Oryzias latipes: one gene and its partner. The main gene of each other region encodes a partner of the protein of the gene in region 2 in a complex. Links are inferred from orthologs where the notes say so. Each region holds a gene or a part of one and is shown on either strand. Other genes may lie near its edges.

What was found.
Region 1: the proteins of guanine nucleotide-binding protein G(i) subunit alpha-2 (region 2) and p2ry12 are in contact, whole or in part, in a cryo-EM structure (PDB 7XXI), measured with the Homo sapiens proteins. The link is inferred for Oryzias latipes from reciprocal best matches to the Homo sapiens genes GNAI2 and P2RY12. Residues at the interface, in NP_002061.1 of Homo sapiens: Arg24, Glu28, Ala31, Arg32, Leu195, Glu319, Ile320, Tyr321, Phe335, Phe337, Asp338, Ala339, Thr341, Asp342, Ile344, Ile345, Lys346, Asn348, Leu349, Lys350, Asp351, Cys352, Gly353, Leu354, Phe355; in NP_073625.1 of Homo sapiens: Phe59, Asp121, Arg122, Lys125, Thr126, Pro129, Phe130, Thr132, Asn134, Pro135, Ile212, Leu216, Ser219, Tyr220, Arg222, Thr223, Arg224, Val234, Lys237, Ile241, Leu301, Cys302, Lys303.

What each region holds. Positions count from the first base shown.
Region 1 is NC_019871.2:13,121,685-13,126,108, reverse strand, and holds p2ry12 (P2Y purinoceptor 12), read right to left. Parts: upstream 2,899-4,424; 5' UTR 2,750-2,898; intron 2,000-2,749; 5' UTR 1,992-1,999; coding exon 1,740-1,991; intron 1,508-1,739; coding exon 680-1,507; 3' UTR 211-679; downstream 1-210. UniProt on the Homo sapiens protein: Receptor for ADP and ATP coupled to G-proteins that inhibit the adenylyl cyclase second messenger system. Not activated by UDP and UTP. Required for normal platelet aggregation and blood coagulation.
Region 2 is NC_019863.2:7,271,442-7,275,018, reverse strand, and holds part of guanine nucleotide-binding protein G(i) subunit alpha-2, read right to left. Parts: intron 1,210-3,577; coding exon 1,080-1,209; intron 704-1,079; coding exon 550-703; intron 465-549; coding exon 274-464; 3' UTR 272-273; intron 1-271. UniProt on the Homo sapiens protein: Guanine nucleotide-binding proteins (G proteins) are involved as modulators or transducers in various transmembrane signaling systems.

The DNA of each region.
Region 1 (4,424 bases), on a different chromosome or scaffold from region 2:
AGATTTCTGTGAGTAAATCAGAGCAGATACACTGAGACAAATGAGGTTTTAAAACCGACAAACCAGATTGCTGACCATATGAAAGGGTCATGGTAACCACGGGATCAGAAACTTCCTCTTTTAATGTTATTCTAAGGACATTACAGCTTCAGGTCTTTTGCCGTACATATGAAACAGACTGCAGATTTGAAAATCTCTTGGAAGATAGAGTCCGACCATCCTTGCTTTATTGTTATTCCAGTTTGCCTTTTGTAAGAAAATCAGACAAAAGTCTCACTACAAATACTACAACTAACACTTATAGAAGGGAATTTTACTATAAAAATATACAATGTTTACAGTCAGGACATTATTTATAACGTAAGAGGCATCTGAAGCTGTTGTTAAACAGTTTTTAGTTAAAGTTCTCAAATACATATATCAAAATATTGAAGTTTTTATTTTATTTTACCAAAACGACAACATCACACTTCTCTTTTATAACAATAATTACTGTGTAGATACAGGTTTTAATGTATAAACACAAAGTAAAAACCTACGCATTGTGAACATGGATGGCTCTCCACAGGTGATGATTACTTTTGTTCTTTTTCACATAGCTTTGTTGTAAAGTCACATAGAACTTTGTCATAGGAGACTAAAAGACTGGAAGAAGAAGATCCTGAGTTAAATTTTTATTTCAATTACATGTAGACATTTGTTGGCTTGTATTTGCCTCCCTCCCTGTTATCCAGCTGCAGGTACCAGGAGGCAGATGCAGCGTCTTGAACAAAGTGTCCCTGAAGGACTTGCAAAGGAAGAAATAGATGAGCGGATCAAGTATAGAGTTAAGGGAGGAGAGGAAAAGGGTGCTTTCCTTCAGCTGGAAGAAGACAAGCTTGAATTTGCAAGCAGAGAGAACATTGCGAGTCTGGCTTATTGTATAGGGCACTCTGGCAAAATGAAATGGCACAAAGCACACAATGAACACCCCGAGAACCAGGAAGACATTTGCACTTAATTTTCTTTTTCTCTGATCGGGTTTGCGAGATGTTTCTCCAGTAGAGGATGAAGCATCAGTCCCACCAGCAATGTGTGAATTTGTGCGAGAGTAGGATTTGTACAGCTCTTTGGTGATCAGAGTGTAGCAAACGATCACGGTCGCCAGATTGCTCCAGAAAATCACTTGGCACACATAATTTACCACTTCGTGCCAAAACAGCCCTGCTTTTGTTTTCAAGTCGCTGCACGAGAAATGTGAAGAAGGTGGGTCTTTACATGTAAGGATCATGTTGGGCAGGCACAAGAGCAGCAGGATGATCCAAATGGCCGCTGAAAGAAGTTTCCTGCGTGTCAGCCGGGCAGAGTTAGTGCCTCTAAAGGGATTGAGGGTCTTTCTGCAGCGATCAATGCTGATGAGGCCAAAGAAGAGGATACTGACGTACATTGTGAGGTAAAACAGCACAGAAGAAACTCTGCACACAAATATTCGCACGCTGATGGATGCCAAGTTGGAGTCTGACAGCACCTGGAGGAAAAAGAAGGTTTCATATTTTAGGTTGTATCCTACAAGATAGTCCAAAAGATCCAATAAAAAAGCTCTGTTCATTATGAAACCTTAAAAGAAATTAAGGTCTTATTTGATATTAAATAAAATCTACAGTCAAAAGAAGCATTAAAATTCAAATAAAATAAAAACAGCTTCTTCTTTTAACTGCAACTTGTAAACAAAAGTTTTGGTGTTTGCAAGAACTACAAACCTTAAAAGGGAACGAGAAAGTCATGATGACATCTGCCACCACTATGTTCTTCAGGTAAATAATGAAGTGGGACCGCGAAGGGATGCGGAAGAACACCCACACCGCCACACCATTGAGGGAAAACCCCACCAGCAAAAGACAGGAGTACAGAACGGGGAAAACCACCGTCTTCAAAACGTTGTCCCTGGAGCAGGTGCTGTTAGTGTGGCTCTGACCATCAGGATTTTGGAACAGAGTGGCATTTAAGTCCATTTCTGCGTCTGTTTAACAAGAAGGAAAGAAATAGGTCAAAACCAGAGCCAAAACACAAACAAACTACAAACTTTAGACGAGACAGACCTCAAAAATCAGATGCAACATTTTGTATCTTTCAGTGTGTGGAGCCACATTGATCACACAGGTTGATGTAAATCAAGTTAATATGGCATTTTTTAAAGAAATTTGACAAATTCTAATGGAAAAACAGCTTGTAAGTATTTGATGTTTTTCTAGTGTGTGTGGTTTACTAATACTTAAATATTTGCAGCTTTGGTCTAGTTGTTGGTTGGTTTATTTTTTTAGATAAAATAAAATAGACTGAAAAAAATGTCTATAAAGTCAAGACAATGCTACAACAAAAAGGCATGCTTGCAATTTCTTTTTACCTTGTCTTACTTTATGTCTGACAAATTGGCACTTTGTAGGTGAAAGTAAAGCTCAGGAAAATAAAAAATATATTCAACTGAACATCTATACAAATACAATTTCCATAGAACACACAAGACTTCATGTAACTTTATGTTTTTATTGTTTAAATTTACACAATTACCCGAGAGAATTTTTGTGTGTGAGCAAATCAGAGGAACTTCTGTGAGATAAAGTTTGCGTTCAGTTTTCCACTGGCTTAGTGCCATGACCCCATTTTATAAAAAAAAGAAAAACAATGCCGTGAGCCATGCGTTGTAGTACAGTTAAGGTGAAGAAGCCTGTAATGTGTGCATCAAAAACCTTAAAAAAGTTCTTAAACTGACCTGATCTTTGGGATGATGACGAGCTGTTACATGGTCTGCCTCCTCAGCAGGTCTAGATGTGAAATGACACGGACAATTTGTTTGAGGTTTCAGTGTTTTAAACAGCCTTTTCGATGTGGGTTGTGGCAGGAAGACGTTTTCATTTCTTCTTTGTTCTTCCTGTTTCCCCCCCCCAAAAAAAAAAAAATTGTCCATCAACAAAGAAGAATCCCTCAGTTTAATATTTAGGAGAAAAAAAAGGTTTGAACTGTATGTTACAAATGTTTGCTCTTTTTCACTCACTTTCATTTTGTTAACAGTTATTGCTTCATTCTAATTGATTTTTCATTATGTAGAGCTTATTAAATAATTTTTAGATGTATCTCCTTGTGTATGTAACATGTAATCCTCTCAATAAAGGTACACAAAAAATATCTACAATGGCACAACTTGGTGATAATCTATAAAGGTGTTGTGGTAATATTTAGTGTAAACCTTGAAGAAGAGAGCAAACAGAAATGGAGCTTTTTTTCAGGATGGACACAAATTGTCAGAGGATTTGCAAAACACCTACTATGGAACGCTATGAATACCCTATTTTTAATACTTCTGTTAATTTGAGAGAAGGCTGTAAGTCACGGAGAAGTGAAAGTTTTTGTTCCGTCAGGAATATTAAAATCTTTCACTTCTCTTTGCCTTCCAGAATGACAGATGTCAGAAGGCAAAATTCTAGGATTGAAAATATCATTATCGTCAGAATTCCTGGCTTTTTAACCTTCCTTGTTAATTAGTAAATGCATTGCATTGCATGAATAGTAAGTATATTATAATGTTAATTTCTTATGAAAAACAACCCCAAAGCAGTATTTTGATCCTTTCACAGATCTCTGTGCATCACTCTAAAACCCTGCTTTCTGAGCACCCGCCCCTCCCAATCCACGAAAATGAGTGGGTCTTCATATTGTGATGTCACAAAGTGGAGGACCGCCCCTTCCAGGAAGAGTTTGTGCTGCCAGCACCGCCCCCAGGCTATCACACACACTTTCTATGTGGAGCTAGTGGTGATCAGCTAAAATGCTTTCTTTTTATGTGCCAATGGTAATATATGACAATATAATAGAATAGCATGATGTAGACCCTACCCTACCTTACAACTACTAGTGAGTTTTAAAATAAAATTCTATTGAAAACACAGTTTCAAGTCTTTTCTTTAGTTTTATTCTACATTTCTGAAAAGCGTTAAACATTCCGATTTTTTTTCCTTTTATTTGAAAAGAATACACAAAAAAGTTCAACAATAAAGGTACTGACTGAACTAAATGTGTCCAATTTTTTTGGTCAGATTGATTTGGTAGATTATGAATGATTTGCTGCCATGTTTGCCAAACAATTCCGCTCTTCTGATTACAAATTACTTGCTGCCATGTTTTCCAAACAATTCTGTTCTTCTGAGGAACTGAGGTTGCTTGTTCATCGTCCACTTCCCCTTTTGGGGAAACGAAGTGTGTTGATCAAGTGACCTTCATCCTACCACTGCTTCTTGAATGCCACCAGTGCCAACACAGCAACTTCCTGTGTCTGGAGCAAGAATGTCACAATAAGCAGTTCTTCACTTGAAACTCCCTTAAACCTGAATGGTTTGCCCAGAATCCATTTACAGTTCAGTGTTTTAACTTTTTGGTAAATTTTAATGATC
Region 2 (3,577 bases):
GGATTTTTGTCAAGGTTAAAGTGTGCCGTGGCTCAAAAAAGGTTGAAAAACACTAATATAGACTATGTACAGATGATCCACCCAAACATGTTATTTTCCCCAATGGAAAACATTTATTTAGGGAATAAATTTTAAGCCTTTGGTTTTAAATTGAAAACAACGTTTCTGTACATTTGAGGGAAAGTGGGTCACAACTTTTAATGACCTTCATTCTTCACATCACTGAGTGAAAAAATATGTTACACCCAGCCCAGCAATTCCAAAGTCCTACCTTCAGAAAAGACCACAGTCCTTGAGGTTGTTCTTAATAATGACATCAGTGACAGCATCAAAGACAAACTGCACGTTCTTGGTGTCAGTGGCACAGGTGAAGTGGGTGTAAATCTCATTGGTGTCCTTTTTCTTGTTCAGATCCTCAAACTTGGTTTGAATATAACTGGCAGCCTCATCAAATTTGTTGGCTCCTGGGAGGCGGAAGCAAATGACCATCATTTCTAAAGTGACGCTTTTTAAACGTCCTGCATGCTCTTGATGCTGCCTGCCACCTACCTGAGTATTCAGGGAAGCAGATTGAGAGAGGGCTGTGGGTAATCTTCTCCTCAAAGAGGTCTTTCTTGTTGAGGAAGAGGATGATGGAGGTTTCCGTGAACCATTTGTTGTTGCAGATGGAGTCGAAAAGCTTCATGCTCTCGTGCATTCGGTTCTGAAAGGAGGCGTATGGGCATGAGTCACACAACAGCAATACATCGAAGCCGCCACCAGGAGGAAATGTTGTTTCAAGACAATGTAGATTCATCAGAGACTCCCCTGAGCTCCTATAAGCTGTTCAACACATTAAGGCAATGATTCATGTCACTTGAAGAGAAAAAATGTAACTGAATGATTATACTTCAACTGGAGTTCAATGAGCTCATCTTACTGCTTGAAGGTTGATACAATAAAGCCATAACAAGGACAGTTGGGGGATATGAATGTCTTTCAGCACCACTGAATCGACACTACTCCGTAGATTTCTGAAGCCAGCAAAGATGAATCCTCCATGCAGACGAGCACACATCAAAGGGCGGGCTCTTCCTTACCATCTCCTCGTCCTCAGCCAGCACCAGATCATAAGCACTGAGAGCGACGCAGAAGATAATGGCTGTTACTCCTTCAAAACAGTGAATCCATTTCTTCCTCTCCGAGCGCTGGCCTCCCACATCAAACATCCTACAAGGGAAATTAAAGAGAAGACTAAATGAATTATCCACCCGAGGGTCTGGAAGAGTGTCAGACAGAGAACAGGAGAGGACACTTTTGTTTTTTCAGGACTGAAGAACACTGCTGGCGTATGCATAGCCGTTTCATGAGGGAAACTCTTTGCTGAGGAAGTGGAGGAACAGAGGGGTTAATGTGTGTTACAGGCAGGTTCAAAGCCCGTTTATTCTGAGGGGGACTGGGGGCTAATGAGAAAGCTGAGAGTGACGGAGGACTGGACAAAAGGTCACAGTCCTCTCAGACCAGGACAGTTGCAAAAACAAGCAGCAATCGGAGCGAGGAAACACCTCATGAGGTCAGGTGTCTTCTAAATGACACACTCTGATGAAAAGAAGTTGAGCTGCTGTCAATCTTTTTACAAAATATTTCGTTTCACTGTGATTGTGCCAAACAGCAGAATTATAAGAGAGTTCTCCAATCGATTGTCTGCATGTTTTATTCAAGCGGAATTCAGAGGCTGAGGCTCAGGGGAAATACCAGAATGTCAAAAAGGAAAGCGGTCGCATCAGTTGACTTCAGATGCTTTAAAAAGCAGCACTTTACAGACTCAAATATCAGATCAAATCTCTTAATCTCGCAAAATAAAAATTCCCTCTACTTTATATAAACAGCCTCCCCCTGTTTTATGCCTGTACTGTCAGCGTTTTTATAGAACATATTTCATGCACTCGATGTATCTGGCTTTATGCGCCAATCTATACATCCATTACTAACCCACACATGAGAGCTGGGGCGGGGTCAGAGCATATTTTATGTAAGACTATTGATAGTGTGGCGCGCAGGAACGACTTAAATGTTTTCATTCAAAACCACTCTGGTTTTACTGGGCAAGAGCACTGTGGGCAGGTTTGTGTGTGCTTACAGTGTGCATATGTGAGGAGGGGGAGGCTTTTAATTGCTGCTACAGTTGTTCGAGGGGTGGGGCGGCACCGTTTTACCCAAAAAGGTCATATGGTTTGAAATGCTGGTAAAATTTGAAGTACTCTATCAGCTCAGTATAAACAGCACATTTGTAGACACAGAGATTTTTCTGTTAGTTTTTAAACTAACCCAATGGAAAACTGCATTGGTGACATACCTAAAGCTGAGTTTTCTGTCAATAGCTGCGGTTCCAAAAGTAATCGGAATGAACGCCTGATCCGAGTCAAAATGTGTAATGTAAACACGCCGTTCGGAATACTCTGACCCGATCAGACTCATTCGGATCAAAATTTCTTTCCAATCGACATGGGTGGGTTATGCCGATTGTTGATCTGATCGTGGTTCATGTAAAGAATTTATTCTGATTATGGGTCACTACTGCTCTGTGTTTTACATCATGCATAGACGGTGTGGCGTCTCCAGAGACGCGCTCCAGAGAAGGCTTTGGAGTGCAAACAGGATCGGCCGGCTGCTCCACGTAAGCGAATCATTACTATGAGCAGAGCAGCCAGACTTGTAGCTTGCTAGCATGTTTGCAGGTCCGTTGTTACGGTGTGCGTTCCACAGAAAACTTTGGACCACAGTCCGTCCAGTTGCTCTCCGTGAGCGAGCTGCCGGACTCAGGAGAACCGCATCTCCCGGGAGAAGAGTCTCAGAGCAGCTTCAGTGTAAGCTGGCGGAGGCAGCTTTTGAATATAGAAATGCTGCTCTGCGCAGTCCTGAGAAATCGTGCAAACAATCAAATAAATTTGCGGCATTATCCGCACGGATTTTAAGTGCATCCAAGGCTAAATGTTGATATTAGCTTAATTCTAACCCTTCTTCCGGGTTTGTGCATCCAAGAGTAAAGCACTGGCCGCACATATTTAGAAAATTATGAGCAAACAGTCACTTAAAATATATAATAATAAATAAATAAATAATAATAATAATAAAAGCCCGTTTAGATCTCGCTCTATGCCGGAGCTTTGTTTGTTTTCAATGGAACTCGCTATCTCTTCTTCTACAGCCATTTCCAGTGGTTTAGATAGTTCTGCGCATGTCAAAAAGATTTATTTTGATCAAATGTCTGGCGTGTAAACGCTTGATAATTGGATAAAGTTTTTCTGGGCCCATGCACACAGTTCAATTCTAATCTGATCTTTGATCCAATCACAGACATTTTGAACATGTAACTGCAGCTAATGTCTACAGTATCTTTTGGACTATAAGTTGCACTTTTGGGAAAAATTTATTCTACAAAAAACAGGACAAAGAACAGACATTTTATCTTGAAAGGCAAATAATACTAACAGAATAGATAATAATAATAGACTGATATTAGTCCACAATCTATCGTATTTTAGGACATTTTCCATGGAAAAAAGAGAAACCCACTAGTCACGTGACCCCCGCACAA